Lepisosteus oculatus: one gene and its partners. The protein of the gene in region 3 interacts with the protein of the main gene of each other region in a pairwise test. Links are inferred from orthologs where the notes say so. Each region holds a gene or a part of one and is shown on either strand. Other genes may lie near its edges.

Region 1 (7,566 bases), on a different chromosome or scaffold from region 3:
TATGCATCGTTGTTGTCGTTGTCATCATCATCCTCATCATCATCCTGTTGGCCACGGGGGTCATCCCCACCTCGAGCTCCAAACCTTCTCCCTGAGTCCTCACTGCCTGTACGGCCTGGAGGTTTTTCTCACTCCACACACACACGCCATGTCCCTCCGAGCTCCCCACTAACCTCTGGCCACTTGTCTTTTTTTGTTTGTTTGACAGAGGAGTGAGCTGAAGTATTTGAAATTGTGATAATTGAAAAGGAAAAGGGAGTGAGCCATTTTCTCTGTAAATGGTGCACCCCTGTACTCCTACTCAACCTGTGTGTGCCCCTTGATTTACACAATCTAACACATCCCTGCCCCCCCTTGCATCTCAGACAGGTTCGATGATGACTGCTCAGTCTGGAGCTGACCTGCCTGCTGTATGCCACCTGTACTAACACATCAGTTCACTAGAGGGCATTATATCCTCCAATTTGGAACTCACCCATTTTGATGTAGGAGTTTTTTTGCCATTATGTTTCCTCCCTTATTTATTTAACCACATTTATATATACAGGTAGGACTATTCAAGTACTGTGTGTACATCACAGACCATTACAAATACTCACAACTTGGTTATATGAATATTTTTTTCTGAAGTAAGCAAGATCATTAATTCAGATCTTACAGACTTAAGAATTATTGTATACATGTCAGTGTATATATATATTTTTTTCTTGGGTAAACAGATATAGAGTTTACTATAGTATTAGTTTGTGCAAATGTTATGAAAATTCATTTTCACAGTGTTTTCCCAGACATTCTGTAGGCATGCATGCCTGCACCGTGATTAAGAAAACCAGTTCTGTTTTCTGGAAGGAACCTTTTTTTAGCTAGGAGAACAATGTTACAAGAATGTCCCTGAGCCTGAGTAATTTTGCTCAGGCTCACAACTGGACATATTAGTTTAAATTACATTTATAGTCAACAAATGTTGGCAGTTACCTGGGCAGTGTCCTAATCAAAGTTTGATTGTAGAGAAATATACTTCAAAAATCTGTCCACCTAAGTTACATGGACAGAGGGTCTTTAATAACGAATAGTTAGAGGTGGCACTTTAATGTTACACATAAGCTGGAATCTGGGAAGCAATGTGTTTTTTCCCATTCCAAATATGGAAAAGTCGCTTTGCATTATGAACTAATAATGTATACCTTTTCCATTTATTCCTACCCTAAAATGGCTGTTTAGGACTAACTTTATGTCTTTTTCTGCCTTCATTATATTCTAATTCGGTGGTGATTTACTTAACCGTACAGTACTTCAGGAGTTGAAGAGTGAACAGTAACCTGTAAATTATTAGCTGCACCTTATCAAAGTGAAGTATTTCAATTCATATCAACAGACTACTGCTGCTTGAGCTATAGTCTGTTTCTCCTGTTTGCACCAGAGTTGTCTAGGTTTCTGGGTCCACTTTCAACTTGTTCAAAGGTAAGGTGTGGCACTCAGTTTTGGAACCAGGTTTTTTACCCAAGATATTTTTGAATAAAAAAATAAATTTTCTTGGCTATTGTTCTACCATCATGCCAGAAATGGTATTTTAACTGTTTTGATAAGAACTTCTAAAGATACATCACCAGCAGAAGTGCTGCAATGACTGTTTGACATTAGAGTTGAAATGGTGAGATGGAACCTGTGATGCTAGTTCTGAGTAACCAAGCGATATCTAACACTTGTATATTGTTAATGTTATGTTACTCCACTGTCTGTTCATTGCAGAAATAATTATAAGATACCTCCTATAACCCTGTTACTGGCCATGTGCACAAAAACTTTCTTTAAGAGATTTTTTAATGCTTTGAATCATTAAATGCATTTTTTCTCTCATTTGTGTCTCTGGGTTAAAATCTGTTCAATTAAAGAATTTATTTTAGGATGTAAAAAAAAATATTTTAGAACAGTTAGTGTTCTGAAAAGAAATGAAAAATGTAACCCTTGAAAACTGTGCCCTGGGTTTAATTAAAGTGAACAGAATCGAATGCATGTTGAATTATATGCAATGAGATTTGTCAATCTTTGGGTGATCCATCCACAGAGTCCACAATAGAAAGTTATTGTGTGTGTGCAATATGTAGCCGTAAGCTACATGTTGTGTGCAATATGGGAATAGCTCGCTTCAGTAATATTGATGATTTAGAACAGCTGGGTTAAAATTGTCAGTATTCCTCCCAAATTTCAGTTAAGAATATTAATTTACTATGTGTTAAGATATAATTATTTATCAAATATATTTTCCTCATTGTGTATAATTAATTCTTTTCTCGAAGTAGGCTATGTAAAATCTTTCACAGTAATTGCAAGGACTGTACTCGCACATTACAAAAGCCAAGGAATTAATTTACAGTAACTGGCTGCAAAAAGATTCAAGTCAGCTGCCATGGGTCTTCCAGGGCAGTCTAAGCCAAAGTGCGCATTACTCTTTGTATGGTGTGTGTGTCCTAAGGAAAGTTATGAGAGTCATCATAGGTCAAAGGGTACAGCTTTCTTTGCAAGAAAACCAACATCACCAAAATGAACCTCTTCACTGGAAATTTGATCTCGAACAGCCGTTTTCCCACAGGCTGTTCTCAGGTTGATTTAAGTAGCCAATAAGATTTGTGAGATTTGGTTAACAAATTAACTTGTTCTCATTAAGCAAATAGGCTAATACTGGGTTTTGGGGTGTTATGCAATTAACTCAATTTAAACTTGAGAAGATGCATAACCCTAAACATACTGTGATTCTCCAATGAGGCAGTAAAGTAGTTAACTTAGACAATCAAACTGTACATATTCTTAATAACTTTTTATCCGTATACTGTGTGTAGAAAAATTAAAATGGTAGAACAGGTAAGATAGTTTTATTTTGATTATTTTCCTGCATGTATTAAACTAGAATAAGACTGTCAATGCTTCATCAGCATATCATATAATCAAAGCCATGCAACACAACTATAAAATCTTCATAGGTTAAAAATGGCATTTTAAAGATATTTTGAAGTGTCGGTTCCAAATTAGAAACCACTCATTTCATCTACTAATGCCACCGAAAGCTAGTGATGTGGTGTAGTCATTCATGTTAGAAATGAATGACTGAGGGTGACGTCGGCAGTACCGGTAATTAATCACAAGAGGGAGACATTAAATGTAAACATCAAGACTGAAGTTACTGATTCTTTAAAGAATGAAATCTATAAAATAGTTGAGCAATTCTGAACTAAAATTAAGTGGAAAAAATATTTATTTTTCCTGTCTCCGTTTTGGTCTGTCCCTTATCTTCTGTTCTAAATATGCAACTACTGTATTGCAGAAAGGGGAAAGGTTAATTAAATTGCGTTATCAACAAGACTTCTGTGATTTTATTTGCTAATCTTTTGCAACTCTCTTGGACGATAGCACTCGACATCTCTGTGGTTCGCAACGGAGGAACTAACAAATATTAGCTTAAACACATGTCTGTTTTGCTTCCGTGGTTAAATCCAGGCCTTTGTCATTAGGTTTTACCATTTCAGAGTTTAAGGAAGTCATGCCTGCAGGTGTTCAAATGAAGAGCTGTGTAATTTAAAGATAGCACTACTAGTAACTGCTGAGAGGAACTGAATCAAGAATCACTTCGTTTTCCGGTTGTCTTCAAGCTTTTCTATACGAAATAGTTATAAGTGAGGTGAATTTTATTGAAGGTGATATATATCTCACTAAATTAAACTTGCCGGTGCAAAGCATAACACTTTAGCACAACACAGCTCATGTAGTTAATTGTGAATGACTACAGTGCATCTAGTTACTGTATGTGTACATGACTAATCCTAGTTCAGTACATGTGACTACTGTCCATTTAGTCGTGTGTACATAACTACAGTCCTATAGTACTTCATTGTAGATGACTACAGTCCTTGCAGTTATTTTTACATGTATGTACTAGTTCTGTACATATGATTGAGTGGTCAGTAAGGAAGGACCACATGCACAAACACCTCTGAAACTCGCTTATCTGCACTGATGATGAAACTAGTGATGGCAGAAGCGGAAGTAATTGTGGGGGCTTCAGGAAAGATTTTGTTTGCATACGTAGAAAAAATATCTATGGGCCAGCACCTCACAGTGCAAACAAGACAATGACCCAGGCAATGTGATCGAGTACCAAACAGTTCATCGGGATAAAACGTAGAAATTCTTAAACTGGCCAAATCCAGGATAAAATGTTTGCCTGGAGTGATCCCAAAATAAAACGTATGTTGTCTTTACGAATTATATTAATCTCACCTACGATACTGCCCTAATAATTCTGGAGGGAACTGTATGTACATTAGTCAGTATCGGTTCACTATCTAATTTATTATACTTTATTTCAGATTACATATTATTATTATTTCAGATTACAAACATACAGATTTACTAGCATTGTTTATATAAAAATATATAATATAGTATCATATATATAATATTGCTGCTGTGGCTTCACCGCTCTAGAGACACTAAGGGAAATTAGGGCGGACTTTTTTTCAAACCACAATGTATGACTTGAGTTTTTTCCAGTTTTTTTCTCCACGGCTTTTGACAGCCAGGAACTGCTGAGCAGTTTCTGACCGACAAAGCGAAGGAAGAAAAAACAACTTCCACATCCCGAAGTCTCGAAAACAGCTGCCTCGCGTTTTTTTTTCTCTTCTTCTACTTCTTCTCGAGACACATCTGTGTCTTAAATACACTTTTTGCCGACCCCTGAGTAAAATATAAACGTAAAAACCAGTCTCCGCAGGCCTCCACCCCCAGTCTTGTGGGTGGTGTTTTGAATGCCAGTCATCCAGAGATAGGGAGAAAGAGAAAGGACACGGTGGAAGCGAAAGGGCCTAAGGACGAATTCGTCGAGGGACGTAGAGCTGAGGTTGAAGTGTGTTCATCAAAAAATAAACTTGAACAATAGCAGAAGGTTGTTGTTTTTTTTCCCTTTCCTCCGGGAGCGACTTTGGACGCAACCCGACTTCGTCGTAGGCTGACGTTTTTTGTTCCATTCAGGCAGGAATAGGACTGTCAGAATGGTAAGTAGCCTACAAAGAAGAAAATAGTACAAAACCCCTCAGATCTCTTGTCCAGGCTTTGATAGTGTGTGTATTGGCGATCAGCCCAATTTCCGTTGCCCATTGCAGTTCCTTAAAGCTCCGTTTTTGGGCCGCTCTTTGTTTTTGAACTATGTTATGGTTCGCTGTGCTTTTACTTTCATTAGCTACAGGCCTCGCTGTTTGGGCTGAAATACTGTTTGATAAATGCTGTAAATATACTCGCGAAAATATCATTTCGGACACGCACCCTGTTAAATGTATAGATAAAGCTGAAATATACGGGGACTTGCAAGGGAATAAAGTTGAAAAGAATCGCAAAGCCTGACTTTTGAAAGTCAAACGTTGTTACACAAAACGGAATGCAGTTTTTTTTTTAATTTGGCATTTGTAAGTGGGTCCCTGCTGTCGCACACGCCCCTGTTTCGGTCTCGAGGTGAAGCAACCGTGTTTTTCCATTCTTGAAAATGACCCATATCAGTGTAAACACTGCAAACCAAGGTACAAAGTTTTGTGTCAGTTTATCTGTACGCAGCGAAAAGGGGAAGACGTAATAAATTAAAGAGACAAACACCACATGGCGAAAACTGATGTTCAGTAACCTGCGGTTGCTTTTCTGTCCGATTTCTTAGGGTGTCCTTTTAAAAAGTTAAAGCGTTCAGCGGTCCAGTTCTGTATCCCCGTATTATCCCGCATCCCACTGTTTTCTCAAAGTGAACTCGGTGGCTTTACTGCCTTTAAAATGCACCAAAGTTGATGTAATAACCTCCGAAAATGGTGATGCATGTATCCGCGATCATCTTTGTGGTTGCACACATTAATACAATTAATGGAAGACATTTAAACACGTTTTCCATCAGATAGCTGCAATGCCTGGCTTTCTACTCTAGGTGGCGCCAAAGAATTACAGCCTTTGAGGATTCAGGTCCACGCGAGTGGCCTCAAAATGACCAGAGCAGAGATAACCTTCCAGGCGGTTCCTTATAGACCTTGAAACCTGAGTGAACATCAGAAACGGGTTAATAAAACGTGACTACCTGTAATTTGTAGGAAAAAAACAACTACACAGGCTGGGTTCATCTGTGCATGCAGTTTATACAAGCGCGTTCAAAAAAAGTCACAGACGAACGGTAAATGAAAGAAACAAAGTAAGGCATATACTTTGAAATGGTTTTACGGGCTCTAATTAACACGGTCCTGGGCGTGCCTATCTCATTTAACATGAAGTAGTCCAAAATTAGTGATAATCAAGAGTCTGGAACTCTTGCTTTAAGATAGAAAAGTACTATTATGACCAACTGTGCTTGTAGCTCTAGGGATTACAAGGACTGGAGAATTGCTCATGTAAAACCAATCCCACTGAACCAAGTAATTATAGACCAATAAGTCTGACTGTTAAATATAAGATGGTTATGGAAACAATTATTAGAACTAAACTTGAGGATAACCTATTTGGAAATAATATCTTAGGAGTTAGTCAACACGGATAGAATTATTTTACCAAACAACAAGTGTAATACACACACAGGGCATATGATACATTGTATTTAGAGTTTCAGAAGACTTTTGATAGTTTGTCAAACTAATTAATTTATAAATTGCAGACGATGGCCATTGGGTTGACAATTAGTCATTAAAGAGAAAACAGAAGGTACTACAGATAGCGAGGGATATTACAACTGGGGTGATGTAATTTAGTTCTTCTTCTCCACAATTTGTGGAAGCAAAAAAGCAAACAAAGCTAACAGTTTAAACTTTTTTAAATGTTAAAATTGTATAATGTGCTTGTAAGGCCTCATTTATAATGCAGTGTACAATTCTGGTCATCCTGTTACAGCAAAGATATTCTGTTCTGGGGCTGAAGGCAGTGTTCTGAAGGAGCTGAAGCTTTTTAATGTGGAGAAGACCACAAGGATGATAACACTGTATCATTGATAAAAGTATTCAAAATCCTCAAAGGCATTGACAATATCAACCAAGTCAATTTATTCAGAAAGAACAGTGAAACTCAAACCACTGGACACAGAAGCCGTTACTCTTGCTTCTTTCAAGAAATGGCTGGATGAGGTGCTTGGATCAATTAGCTACTAATTACCAATCAATGCAGATGAGCTTGATTGAAAAACATTCTTAGGCTCTCATCTGCCTGTGGTGATTTGATAACATTTCCTGTGCGGTGTGGCTGGTAGTTCTTCTGGTAAGAACAGCCTGCTTCCCAGAAAGGCATCAGACTTGTTCCAACAAGCAACTGTGTAAGAAGAATGCATTATTACATGTTATGTTTTAGACTTGATATTTTTATCTGTTGGAAAAGAATATTAAGTCAGGCATTGCCAATAAAGCTTTAAACTTTTGCTACTGTGTGCTAGAAGGGTGTCCATTCCTGACCCCAAAGAAATCATGCCCAGCAGGTCTTCTGGATAGGACCTGGAATTTTTCTTCACCACCTGATCTTCAGGACTCCTACCCTGTAGTTCATTTATTGGCTTGTAGGTGTTCGTGT
Region 2 (7,028 bases), on a different chromosome or scaffold from region 3:
GTTCCACTGACCCCTGAAATAATTAGGGTATCCACTAGCAACCAAACAAGCTAAAATGGGCAGCCCTTTTTTCTGGAGTGAGGCAGCAGACCAGTACTGCGTTTTTACTCTTCCATATATAGTCATCAACTTTAAGAAAACACTGGTTGTCTAAAGCACTGAAAAAGCATTAATTTAAAATATTTTTGATGCCGAGAAGAATCACAAGCAGTGAAAATCTAAGTGTGTCTTTAAATTAATATACTTACAGGAGTGGCTTTATACACATGGACTTCAAAATCTATTTTTTTTACTAGGGGAAGCTGTGGTAACATAATAAGGACAATAACTGCATTAAACTGCAGTGCTGCTGCTGGAGCAAAACTCAAAGCCAGATATAGGAGCCCCACTGATATTCAGATGTGACTGTTTTAGGAGGGCTGCAGTCAGTACCTAGCTTACCGTTTTCAAAATTATACAGAGGCTGCAGAAAACTATTTCATAGCTTCGTGCTTCATATTAAAAATTGGAAACATTGCACGATTATGAACTTATACATGTACTGAGACTACCTGAAGCGGAGGCGTCTTTTGTGTGGATTGTAACAACAAATACACTACTTTTAGAACAACTGCCTCCCTGCATTAAACATTGAGATGTAAATTAAGCCATGTGAGAACCTGAAGACCTCAACTAATGAATTAGCAGTTCAAGAACTCTAAAACATATTGCAGTTCTGAAAACATAAAAATTATTTAAATGCTCGATTTTGTGTAGCATTTGCAGGCATCTAAAGGATTTATAATATATAGTTATGTTTAAAAAATGTTTTTCTGTCACTACAAATTCATTAGATATCTGTATGGGCAATCTAAATGTATTAAAATGTTAGCTATTCTTTGTTTGTCAGATCCCAGATCTGAATAAAGTGGAAAAACACAAACTGCAAAGAGCTACAAAAACGTTCATGTGACATTTAACAGTGAAGCAAAAACAATACATATCCCCAAAAATGTAAATTTCCATTTTATTATTCATGCAAAAAACGCCTATCAACAGACTAGGAAATGTATTTTAGCCATATTAAGCCAGCATCTTTAAATCTGAATCTACAGCAATGGTGCACACCTTTTCTGTCAGGGTCATGCAGGGCAATCTGAAAAACAAGGAAGGCAGGCCTGATAAGCATCACATTTTAAAAGCCCGTTGTTTTCAATATCCAAAGAAAAACTATATATTTCTAATCAGTATTGTAACACCACAGTATCAAACTACACAACCACTACAGAAACTGCTGAGTAACATTACTGTCGCTGAATAAATTCTCCGCACGACCCCAGGCTAAATCAATGTTTATTACGAATATATAACACTGCAAGGATTTCCATAAAATGCCGCTTACCCAAACATACCCCCCAGAAAGGAATGAGAGGATTTCACTTTCTTGTCAGCTTCAGCCATAAGATGAATGGCTTCGTTCTCTTTTCCTGAAATGTCCATTTTGTAGGGATGGACAAATATACAAACTCAATATGCGTCTTGTAAAGGTTTCAATTTTTTGGCTATTTGATGTGGATACAATCCGATCCGACCCGTTGACCGCAAGGCGCCGCGGGAAATGTAGTTTATGCCAACATCGAAATAAATTTACAAAATAAGCGGATGAGAAGGGCAAAAAACTCCACTTCCCAGAAGCGCATAACCAAGGGGTTACAGTATTATGCGTGTCGCTTGCACCAGAGAGCTAATCACGTTTTAAGAACTGTGTGACTTGGTGTGATTGTGATAGTTTTGTAAATTACATATTTTGTTCTACAATGCATTCTCTGACTACATTAATAAATCATTATATAATTGTTTACATTATATTTTGTTATTCTTTCATCAAAAATATCAGAATGCTATAATGTCATCTCTAAAATCCAATTTTGATTCACGTATTGAAAATAGTATTCAATGTACATTCTGCTAACGCATAGTACTATTAGTTAAAAACAACTACTCCTTGGAGAGTACATTTGTCTCGGCCATAAGCTAAAACAGACTCGGCCCTGAGTTATCGGTATATTCCTATAAGCGTATCTTATTTTAAACTGTTAAATAACTGTCAAACTTCGTAATTATGATTTGCGGTTTATTTTAACACATTAATATGACGTTTTCTAAATTGTCCTTTAAAGCATTTGAAAAAGAAATCATTCACTAGCATTTGATTTCGGAGAATCGCTGAAATGCAGCAACTCGAATTAGCTTTCCTACATATATATGATTTAGGTCTACAGTTACGTAATTTCAAACGGGGTATATGCAATGCTTTGATAAGATTTAAAAAATGGAGATGTCACTTGTATTATTGTTTCAAAAAGAAAAGCAGCTTTATCATACAACTTAAAGATGTGTCATGAAGGTGGGACTGCCTTGGGTTCCACAATGCTGAAAATCAGTTGGCATCTATATTCTCTCATAATCCCAAAAATCCTACAATCAAATTTCGTAAAGTTATAAATAAAAAAAAACACTCGGGTTTTACATGGGGATATAAGATAACAAATCCCCTTCTTTTGGTCATATTTATATAACTTGATGTGAACTCGATGGCCATGGGAGGAGTTGCAATAATTCCACAGAGAAGGCCTTTGGCAGATTAACATTTCAAATACACGAAAAAACTCCAATGAGCTCTGTACGCCTTTCTAAAAGGGGAAAAAATGGCAACATATTTATTTCAGAAAGTAAGTGCAGATGTCTTCCATTTTTAAAAGGAAAAAAAAAATTAAAAACGTACCCCACCCCCACTTAAACGTACTGTCAGTAAAATGCTGCTTACCCAAACATACCCCCCAAGAACGAGTGGGAGGATTTCACTTTCTTATCTGCTTCAGCCATAAGTTGAATGGCTTCCTTTTCTTTGCCGGTGTTGTCCATTTTTATTAATATATGTGTTTTAATCAACAATTCTCAAATACTAACGCATCAGCCTCTGGTGGCCGTAGATAACAGTCAATGATTTTATTTACTACCAGCACCGGTGTGGTTCATCCGCCGAATGGCAGTTTGGGATATGTAGTTTGTTCATCTTCAATAATTGCACAACATATTTGCAAAAGAACTACTTGTCCCAAGAAGCACATCAACTTGTTCTGCGGATCACCGGATTCAGTCTCTCCACTGAAAAAGTAGGGATTATGTGCGTGGTTCTACAGTACGTGATATACTGTAGCACGGTGTTTGAATGTTTGATTAATTTACTTCAATATTTGGTTTTGGAGAGTGTAACTGAACATCTCTTTTCATTAAACCAAGTCAGATGCAGTGACCTTATTCTGAAAATAAAAACGAACGCTTGGGTTTTATATACTCTATTTTCAGAACTTTGTTCGTAATACATAATAAATAATAATGCATACAATGACAGTCATTCACAAATTTCTTAAACATCTATTTTGAAACACTTGAATTTCACAGTATTTTATATAAATAGTATTGCATTATTTTGAGAACGTTCTACGAAAATATGATAGATTTCTATGCCTTTGAAACAAACTTAATAGTACTGTTCTTTTTCTTTTTTGTTCAAGGTAAACTGTTTAACTGTTCACGATTTTAAAAAATAGGCTTTAGTGCTACTATATTTGCGTAACTTAAACATCTTTCCTAACAGTAAAATATTACTTACGTAAGTAAGAACCATTTTGCTTTGTTTACAGAATATGTTATATTTTATTGGCCTACACATTTTGCTTAATTAAAAATCCACATATTTGTACATTTACTGGTTGTATTAGGTAACAGATATAATCAATTCTCTATGGGCATATATATGTTCTAGAATAATGTGATATTTTATGGAACAAACATATTCTATTGTTTGGTTCAGGTGCGTAGCTGCATAAATATGTGTAGTCTGCAAACGAAAAAGTTATAGGTTTATTCCATGCTGAACAGAGAAGAGAGAAAACACAATGTTTCAGCCGTGGAGCCTTTTGAAGAAGGCTCCACAGCTGAAACGTTGTTTTCTCTCTTCTCTTTCAGCATGGGATAAACCTCTACTTGTTCCTTTGTATTCTATTGTTTGTACATTTGCACTGTACTGTAAAATGTGAACTTGTGTATTATATATACTGTAATGTCTACTTGTTTCACACATCTGTACTGTACTGTGAGCACATATTGTGACTATTTTTGTGTCTCCCCATCTTTTGTATATAGTCTAATGTAATTATGTCAGTAATATTGATGCTGGTTTTGCACCTGTGTGGGTTTTGAGTTGAGCAGGTTCCAAATGTGCAAAGGCACATTCCTGTACCTGACACGTACTGGTGAATAAAAGTTATTCTGATTCAGATTCAGTTGGTGCTGAAAATGTATCTGGGTTCTTATAGCCTTTTCTTAATTAATTTAATAATGTAGTAGGATTTAATAGAGCAGGAAAAGCTCTTTTTTTACTTTAGGGTTTCCTATTCATTCATTTATTACAAGATCTGATATACAATATTGTTATAGGGAGGAATGGAGCAAAATCTCACTCTGCTCCTTTCAGGGAAGAAGGCATACTTAATTAGTTGCATGAATATAGTGCTTTTTCATCCAAAAGGATGTTCCAAAGTGTTTTACGTGCAGATGGGGACTTGCTTCATTCACCATTAATGCATAACCAAATTGGGTGGTCACACATAAGCCATTATGACACCAACAGTCCCTCAATACAGCTATAACCCAGATAGCTGAGAAATTGCTTCACCAGTTTCATTAATGGAAAGATTTAGGTAAGAGACTATGCACATTGGAATAGCCACTAGTGCAAAGTACCTGGAGGTATGTGTGCAAAATAACTTGAATGCTAATCACTAATTAAGTATTAGAAATGGGTTCTCTATTAGCCTAATATTGAATGTTTAAATTATTTGTTCTACACCTTTAAATTCAATGGATACTTACAGTAAAAACTACTGGAAAACTTAAAGTGTTTTATTTTTTTATGCAGTAAGCCACAAGACCACAGTGTACTACAACTTAATGATCTTCACCATTCAGTGCTTTATATTTAGGTTGTTATCATGCAGGTTTGGTTTTAATCTAGACAGCCTTTTATCTTGTTAAAATTATTGTTTTTTTCCAGGTCTGTGTGGAAACTAAGTACATGAAATTTGCAGATTAGACACATACTATGTATGAGACACATATGTTTCTTATAGTGATAACAGTGAAGTAGCACTATCTAACACTATTCCACAAAAGAGGCCTTTGAGGAACAAGTAATAGGTTTATTCCATGCTGAAAAAAAGAAGAAAGAAAACACGTTTTCGGCCGTGGAGCCTTCTTCAGGTTTGAGAAAGACAAGGTAGTAAGCAAAGGTAATGTAGCGGAAGAACAAAGGCTGGGAGAGAGGAGGAGCGAGAGGCGGGAGCAGGAGACAGAAAGAGAGGCCAATCAAGAGGTGTGAAGTCAGAATAGGTGTCGAGAGGTGTGAAATGAAACCTCCAATGAATGGAGAAAATTTAGAAGAAAAGTAGTCTGTCATTAAGGGAAGGGGGAAAGTGTGATCCTAGCTGCAGGATAATTTTGGTTTCTGTAGTCTTTCTGATGTTTGAGTTCGGAAAACCGTCTTTGAGAACACAGACGGAGAGATTAGAGTGGTCATGGCCGTCAGAGGTGAAATGGGAAACAATGGGCTTGGAGAGATCTTTAATCTTCACAGCCCTTACATGTGCTCTGAAGTGGTCTCCAAGTCTCCTTCCTGTTTCTCCAATGTAGATGGCTGGGCATTTACTACAATAGATACAGTAAATAAAGTTGCTGGAGGTACAAGAAGCCATCTGGGTGATCTGGAATTGTCCTGAGGGGACAATAGTCAGATTAGGCCTTAAACCACGATAAATTGAACACTGTAAACAGGGAAGAGGCAGAAAAGAATAGGAAGACTGGAGAAATTAACACTGGAGAGAGCTGCAAGTGGGACATGAGAGAGAAACATCCTCCTACAGACCAAGAGACCAGAACATGTCCAGTTCTGCCTTAAAAATGTTACTTGTTGTTTTATTTTATTTATAGAATTCACAGGCTAAGAGACATTTCTCATTATGGAGTTATGCAAGATTCTGAATATGAAAATTTCCTTTTTTACAGTATTTGTTCTAGAGCGATAATTAGTCCTGAATGGGATCCTTTTATTTCAAAGGATGAAGGTTCCCTTTTTGCCTTTTTAAGTTGTTTGCCTCTCTGTTTCAGAGAAAGCTCTATGTTTTCAGTGTCTGATGAAGGCTAGACCTGTAAATATCTGTCTCTAGCTGTGGAACATTATGTGTGTTCTATAGGGAAGCATAGTAACACAGTAATATACAAAGAATATACAAAGTATTCCCTGACTGTAGGGGTGAAATTAATATTGATCGAATTTGCTTGCATAGTAAACAAATGTCCTAAACAAATTAAGTGATATTTAATTGTAAATTATAATAACACCCCTATTTTTAAGTATTTTTAGTTGTGATAGGTAAAGTGGAAAAAGCCTTTTGTGATACTGATATTTTCCACCAGGTGGCAACAGCAAGCTACCTTCTGACTTGTCCTTCGACGATAGCATTTCCTTAAAACCTTGTACACGGTTAAAACAAAACACTATATAAAAAATAATAAAGGTTAAAACATTTCCAACTTCCAATGTACTAATAATTTTATTTTAAAAATGACACTAGGCATAAATGTGCAGATCGTTAGGGAAATTTTGGAGGAAACATTTAAGTATATTTTTCCATTGAAGTATGTGGATTGTTACTATACGCCAACAGTGACAACACGCATGATAGGTCTCTGAAATATTAAATGCGGTTGCATGGATTATTGCATATGCCTTTAATTTAGAGATATGGTCATGTGTGACATCCATCCAACCATTTTCTATCTGCTTTACCTCTATACAGGGACCAATCCGATGTTGGGAATACACCTTGGATTAATTCAATTAACCTAAGTTTGTCTTTAGACACCTGGAGGAAATCGGAGCGCCTGGCAAAAATTCACACAAACACGAGGGGAACATACAAAGTCCG
Region 3 (7,131 bases):
CCTCCCTCACACATGCCTGGCAGTCTAGGATTCTGTACTCATCTCTGGCGCCCTCTGCAGGCCAGCATGCTCTCCTCCTGGGCCTGGATGACGGCAGCAGCCCAGGCTCTTGGGCACAGTGCTCGGGAAAACAAGGATCACTCCCAAGGGGAGCCGGCAGGAGCCTCCCTCAACACCAGCTCGCATGCCGCACGCCCCCGCCCCCCCAGACCGCGCTGGGCACGCTGCCCTCCCCACCAGCACCAGCACCAGAGTGAAGCCGCACCGCTCGTCGACAGCTGGGCGGAGAGAGCCCTGGTGAGGCGGTCCAGAAACAGCAAGACCCAGAAGCGCCCGACCCAAATTAAAACCACGGATCCAGGCGAGGGTGGAATTCCGCAGCATCCACCAGGCCCTTACAGTACGGAGGGAAGGGACGAGGTCGGGGGGGGGGGGAGATCTGGAAGAGAACGGGGTCCCCGAGAGGCTGACGGGCTGAGATGTCTGAAAGGCGGAGATGCCCCGCCACTGCATTCAGAGAGCGCTTTTGGTTCCGGCCAAAAGAAAACACGTGCTGCTCCGTTCTTTTCGTTAGCGCTCTTAACGCAGGTGGGCGCAGGAAATGTTCCTTTCGAAAGGCCTTGTGAAACCATGTGCTTCACTCTAAGGCGCGGGGTATAGGCATACACCTATAGGGGGTGGAGCACAGGTGCTCACGGATGAGGGGTGGAGGTAAATAAACCTTTTCTTATTCCTTTGCAGCCTGCGCATGGTGACGCGGCTCCCCACATGAACTACTTCAGGTGACAGATTAGTAGGGTATCAGTCACGATGTTTGATGCCCATCTGCGTTCATAAACAAATTACAGCACATAAATACCAAAAGACAGGTTATTGCACTGTATACCTGCCTTCTAAAAGTGATCTCTTACGATGTGCCTATTCTGAATAATTTCCCTTCCCTGGAGCGTCAGGGATTTTTAATTTTGTAGGTCCCTTTATTTAATTTAATGGTATATTTTTCTATCGACGAACTTCTATTTTTTATCGCATGTTTCTGTATTATACCCTTTATCTGTAGTGCACTGTCTAGGACATTACTAGACCACATCCTACACAAAGAATCGCGATTATTATTCATCGCGATTTTTGCCTTTCTGTGCCTTGGAAATGAAATCGTGAAATTCCTTCGCCGAGTCGAGCACCGCGTCACCGTGACCTGGAGGGGCGTGCGGGCAGGGACCGGGGCGCGCCACGGGGTCTCGCCGTCTGCTCTCCAGTCCCTGGGGTCAGGGGGTCAGCTCCGCCAGCCCAGGGGCCATTAATCTGTCTGGGACCCCTCTGAAGTCGGGGCGACAGCGCCGAGCGTTTGATCAGCTGCTGCAGTGAGCGGGGAGGGGAACAGACAGCACTGCGATTGACCGAGTGCTCTGTCACGTTACACTAATAATACCAGCGCTAACGGCGGCTTTACTGCAACTGCTCTGCTCCTGCAATTATCAGCACTTTTTCCCGTCCCCTTACTTTAACTTCTGGAATTGTTATTACTCCTGAAGAGCGCTACTCCTCTTGACATGGTTCTACTGCAATTCAGGCTCTTTCTTTTCTTCCTGTTACTATTACAAAAGAATAACATTTTTTGTTTGAAATCCCTCACCCCCCAAAAAACAAATAACTCTACCTGTTAGCGCCATTAGACTGCAACTGCTTGACAGCAGGATCTGCGCCTGTGGCTGGAAGGTTGCCGGTTCAACTCCCGCGGCCGGCAGAGGAATCCTACTCCGTCGGGCCCCTGAGCAAGGCCCTTCACCCCAACTGCTCCAGGGGTGCTGTACAATGGCTGACCCTGCGCTCTGACCCCCAGCTTCTCTCTCCCTGTCCGTGTGTCTCATGGAGGGCAAGCTGGGGTATGCGAAAAAGACAAAATTCCTAATGCAAGAAATTGTATATGGCTAACAAAGTGATCTTATTTATTTCATTTTCCTGCCTGGGGTGTTATCACCTCACTGAAGTGCGGAGGTAGTTGTTGTTCTTGATTGCTCTATAGCCTGGAAGGGAGACGCGAGCGCTTCCCAGATGAAGCGTGCTCTGGAGGCGACAGGCCTGCCGGATGTGCTGTGGCGCAGCGGGCGGGTGCGCGCACTGGTGTCGGGCTGGGATCAGATCCCTGTGAAGGGTGCTCCTCTCGGGAACCCGCGCACGGGCATGTACGAAGGGTTGCGAACGACAGATCGCCGGGACCGATCGCTTTTCTCTCCATCGCGCATTTCTTCCGAGATCCCAGAGGATCGGTGGCAGAAACACGTCTGGGCGGTTTGTTTCAGACACGCGCAACGCTTTTGTGTAGAGACTTGTACTTGTGTCTTTAGATCCTTCACCTGTCGGAAAATTATCCTGCATCTGCTGTCACTCCGCTGCATCCAGGATTTCAGGTGCTTCTGTAGAACTCCTCAGATATGTCTCCATTCAGCAATAAAGATATTTAATCCCATGACATCCCTTGCAGCCGAGACCCGTTTTAACCACAACGCTCACACAGTATTGAACAGAATCCCCCCCCCCCACGATGTTTGCTTCATTCATCACACTGTCCAGATCACGGCGTTGAAAAGACCCACGAAGAACCGCGCTAAATCAATTCTGCAATTTGCATTCCTCCGCGCATCACTTTCCAGTTTTATGCGATTCCTTCATAGATCCACAAACACGCATCAATTTATTTCAAGCCAACGCTGCAACTGACTTTAAAAAAAAGGCATTCAAAAACAAAAGAACTTGTTTGTTCAATAGGTGTATCTAAAGGTTAATTGTGTGATTAGTACTAGAAAGTATAAACACTGTCCCAAAGATTTACACAGGTGCCGGTAAACATCAGCATTGTGTGCGAAGGGTTTAATTCCTGAAGAACTGGGCGATCATCGGTGATTGCACATTTCTTCCTTCATCGTTATGTTTGAAAGGCAGAGACGGCGTTAGCCGGGCGCGTTGTTCAATACATTTTAGAAAAGTAGATCTTCTCCGCCCTCTAGCGTCCGACATGTGTAATGTAGGAATAACGGACATCCACGCCACTAGATGGCGCTCTGTCGGTTGATTGCTGTCTCCAGTACTTGGAAACTTTTTGGAGAGCTGCTTTATGAGCCTCGACACAGCTTCTGTTGTTGTTCCAAGGACGCATTCAAAATTCAATATGGTTTCTCTTTCACCTGTAGCGTTCAGCTTTATTTATTTATTTTTTTGCTATTGATAGTGTAACGTGACATTTTCTCACATAGATAATCGAACATTTTTATGATTTAGTTAATCTAGGAATACATAATTTAATCCTTCCAGGGGGTGCTGTTTAAAATGGGGTTTTGTCCACAGCCACTCCAGGTGTTTTTCCTGGAGCAGCTCACGTGTGAAGGACCTTACTCACGGGTACAACAGCCATCTCTCAGCGTGGATTCGAACCCACAGCCTCCCTGGTACGAATCCTGAACCCTAAAGACTGCTTCTGATGTAAGCCCAGATACTCATTTTACATGCCAAACTGTTTTGCTAGCAGCCTGTTTACCCTGCAACTTCCAGCTGGCAGCCCACTGAAGCTCAGCAGGTGTGAACCTGGTCAGTACCTGGATGGGAGACCTCCTGGGGAAACTGCTGGAAGAGGTGTTAGTGGGGCCAGCAGGGGGCGCTCACCCTGCAGTGTGTGTGGGTCCTGATGCCCCAGAACAGTGATGGGGACACTATACTGTAAGAAACTTTCCTTCAGATGAGATATAAAACCGAGGTTCTGACTGTCTGTGGTCATTAAAAATCCCAGGTTGTCCTGTCCAAATCTTCCATCGGCACCAGCCAGGAGGGGCTGCACACTGGTGGTGGTAGTGGGATTCCCCATTGCCTGTAAAGCGCTTTGAGTGGAGTGTCCAGAAAAGCGCTATATAAGTGTGAGGATGCATTGCTCTGCAGTGCACTGCTTTCATGCTACGGACAGGACAGGTCACACACACCCTGCTGGGTGACCCTGCGCTTGTGTCTACTACAGTTACTATACGGTATGGCCCTCAGTGTGGCGGAAACAGACGAAACCTCCTCCGAGAATTACCGAGGCGAAGAAAAAATCGGTTGTGGCACATAAACCTGGACTGTGCCGTGCCTGTTTCCTGCGGAAGCCCGCAGCGGAGGAGACGGGGACAGAGACAGGAAGTGGAGTGGTTTGCGCACTAGTGGTGTTGACGTTTCGTCCTGCGTGTGTTAGAGTTAGCGCCCGCGATGCTCTCCGACTAGACCGCAGCATTTCATATCCTCGCTGCTTGGCTCGGCCTCCCCCGTATTGAGCTGGGGAGGGGAGGGGGGAATCATGGCAGTCTAGAGACGGCCTCCCAGTTGTCCTCGGCGAGGCTGGAGGGGGCTGTTCTCCTGTCCGTGTCGGCTTTCCGGCAAGCCCGTCTCGGGGTTAGCTCCTACAGTATCTGAGCCAGCCTCCTGCTCCGCGGCTGCCTGTGCTTTTCGGCTCGCAGGTTTTAATTACTGTGCGCGGAGCCATGGCAACCAGGCGTCTGACTGATGCCTTTTTGCTAATGCGGAACAATGCCATCCAAAACCGACAAATATTGGCTGAGCAAGTGAGTACTTTCGACCCCCGTCATTTGAACACGCGTAGCAATGCTGCGGTGAGTCTCCTCATCCTGACCGTTTGACATTTGAGTTTGTTTTTGTTTCCCCCGTGTGTGGCGGCTTCTTTATTTTGACATTTTATTTCCTACGTGTCGTGGGGGATGCATGTGAAAGAACGGGCATGAGGGCGCGGATCTTGTTGCGTGTTAAGTGTGTGTTGGCTTTTTACGCCTCGGCCCCTGCGGCTGGTAACCATTGCTAACGTAAGCGCCGTACAGTACGTTGCACGTTTGCAAGTGTGTGTGTGTGTTGGGGCCTCCTTCAGGCTGGCGATTAACACCCGTCTCTCGTCTGCATGTTTTCACCCCGAAACCGGGGGTTCTGTCTAGTGACGCTCGGCAGCCTCTGTAGCGTAGCCGTTTTGCAAAAGGCTGCAGTCCACCGTGAAGCTGAACCCCTGGACAGACTATACGGCACTATACTGTCCCCTGGCCTCCAGGTTTGTGGTGTCCCTCGCTAAACGAGGCCGTAATGCAGACCTGCCCCGGCGCTCCCTTCAACCTGTCGACGTGTAGGCCCGTCGTGGCCCCGGCGAATGAAGTCCGGCGCCTTTTTGGGGTATCCTGAATATAGGGAAAGTCGTGCTACTTCCTCAGTCCCGTCTCCTTGGAGACGTTTAGTGCCGTGAAGCGGGGAAGTGCAGATCCCGGGAGATCACAAGTTTCCTGACGGAAGAGCAGGTGTTAGTGTAGCTCTTAAACAGCTGTCGGTAATAAAATGGCATGTGTGGTTCAGCACATGACTGGATCAAAACTGCTACTCAGAGAAGGCGGTAATGTGTAAGGTGTTTGGGTTTATACACTTCGGCTTTGCAGTCAAAAGTCTGAAGTTGACAGGAGATGAACCTACGTACACTGTACCCTGTGCAGTCCTGCGATGCTTCTTGTGATGTTGCCTGGGTTGTTGGTTTCCTTGCCTGTGCTGCATGTTGCCTGGACTGGTGTTGTGTTTCTTGCACAGCGTGCTACACAGTGAGCTCTGTGCATGCCTGGCTTGGCCTGCACTGTGCCCTTGATTGCTGGCGTGATACGATGCCCCTTTGTGCTTGTATTGTGGTGGTCTGCTCTGCCAGCAGCTCCCTGCTGCTGGATGGCACACAGTGTCTGTCTCCCATTGCTTTGCCTCTCTACTCCGACAGTTTTGTGCTCCCCGACAGTGAGAGAGACTGATGAAAGACTTGTTTATCGTCTTGTGCTCTGATGCTGTTGCCTCCCGTATCCGTGCGCGGAGTACAGATTCTGTCCTCTGTCCATTCTCCTTCCCTCCCCGTTCTGGGCCTGTGATATTGGTTTGGTCTCCTCGCATGGGGCACAGCCTCTCCTGCAGTGCTGTTTTGTCTACAAAGCAGGTCCCCAAACAAGAAAATATCGGCAGCTCTTTTAATTTCTTTAATTTGCTGTCGCGGGTCTCAATGTTCACAGAGCTGTGGTCCAGATCGCGTGCTGTGGGCTTAAGGGACCTGCCTGTGCTCGTTCTCGGCCATCTGTCTGAACCAACAGGCATTTGAAATGCCGTGTCTCCTGCTCCATAATGGAATTCATAAGGATGCATGCTGAGCAGCTCCTCCATTCGCCTTCCCCTCCTGCAACTCTTCGCAGAGCGGGGTCAAGGTCTTTGGTCGGGCAGTTTCACCAGCTGACTTCGCCACAGTGTGCTTTATTGTGAAAGTCGACTGCGCATTCCCACAATGTGCTGAGGAGCTCAGAGCACCAATTGGGGTGGGGAGGGAGAGCTAAGTAACTTAGTGAGCCTTCTCGAATGGCAAGGTCAGCTTTTCTAAATTAGAGCCAAAAACATGCTGAGCAGAGGATGACTATAAAATGTGACCACTCTCCGTAGTTCCCGTTTTGATGTCAGCTGCATAAATGGGTCCTGCGGTATTGTAGCATGGCAGTGAGTCAGACTGACAGGCCGTTCTCGCTGTTGCTCCGAGGGAGGCTGCTTGTGTCTGTTCTGTGGCGTCCAGGCCTCTCATCAGTAATGAGGTGGGAGGCCACAGGCAGACCCTATCTGTGCAGTCTGCTTTCTCATCATGCCTGAATTTAATACAAAGGCACAGGCCGACACATGCTTGCCCTCCTGTTATTTCCATTCTGACCTGCTTTCCTAAAGCCGAGCTCTTAATGGCTCCTTCCTGAGATTAATTGAGTTTCCTTTCTCATGGACATTTTTCCCACTTCTGTACAGCACGTACAGCGATGAAGATGAAATTGTTGTTGACCTCTTTGAAAGACTGGTAGCAGGAATATTCATGTAATGGGGTAGACTCAACCAGAAAGACAGTGATTGTTTTGAAGGGGGACGTCAGTTTTATTGTCGTTGTGAGGGAGGCTGATTCTCTTGTCGATCTTGGCCTTATTTCTGGATTATTTGCCGATAAAGGCCGGACAGAGGCAGCATCTGGTTTTTGGAGTTTGATTGACATGCTTTGAAAACCCTCTGTCATTGAAACAGGCTCCACCAATATAAGCAGAATAAACAGAGTGATGTTTG

Evidence for each region.
Region 1: the proteins of stx16 (region 3) and vamp5 interact in binary tests that used the Homo sapiens proteins (3 or more experiments, as listed by UniProt). The two-hybrid records come from large-scale screens. The link is inferred for Lepisosteus oculatus from reciprocal best matches to the Homo sapiens genes STX16 and VAMP5.
Region 2: the proteins of stx16 (region 3) and napbb interact in binary tests that used the Homo sapiens proteins (3 or more experiments, as listed by UniProt). The two-hybrid records come from large-scale screens. The link is inferred for Lepisosteus oculatus from reciprocal best matches to the Homo sapiens genes STX16 and NAPB.

What each region holds. Positions count from the first base shown.
Region 1 is NC_090697.1:68,593,079-68,600,644, forward strand, and holds the start of vamp5 (vesicle-associated membrane protein 5), read left to right. Parts: upstream 1-4,553; 5' UTR 4,554-5,042; coding exon 5,043-5,045; intron 5,046-7,566. Other genes in the region: vesicle-associated membrane protein 8-like, read left to right, coding at 1-95. UniProt on the Homo sapiens protein: May participate in trafficking events that are associated with myogenesis, such as myoblast fusion and/or GLUT4 trafficking.
Region 2 is NC_090697.1:40,421,388-40,428,415, forward strand, and holds the start of napbb (beta-soluble NSF attachment protein), read right to left. Parts: upstream 3,014-7,028; 5' UTR 2,905-3,013; coding exon 2,807-2,904; intron 1,467-2,806; exon of another isoform or gene 1,441-1,466; coding exon of another isoform or gene 1,382-1,440; intron 1-1,381. UniProt on the Homo sapiens protein: Required for vesicular transport between the endoplasmic reticulum and the Golgi apparatus.
Region 3 is NC_090711.1:3,135,876-3,143,006, reverse strand, and holds the start of stx16 (syntaxin-16), read left to right. Parts: upstream 1-4,119; 5' UTR 4,120-4,505; coding exon 4,506-4,634; intron 4,635-7,131. UniProt on the Homo sapiens protein: SNARE involved in vesicular transport from the late endosomes to the trans-Golgi network.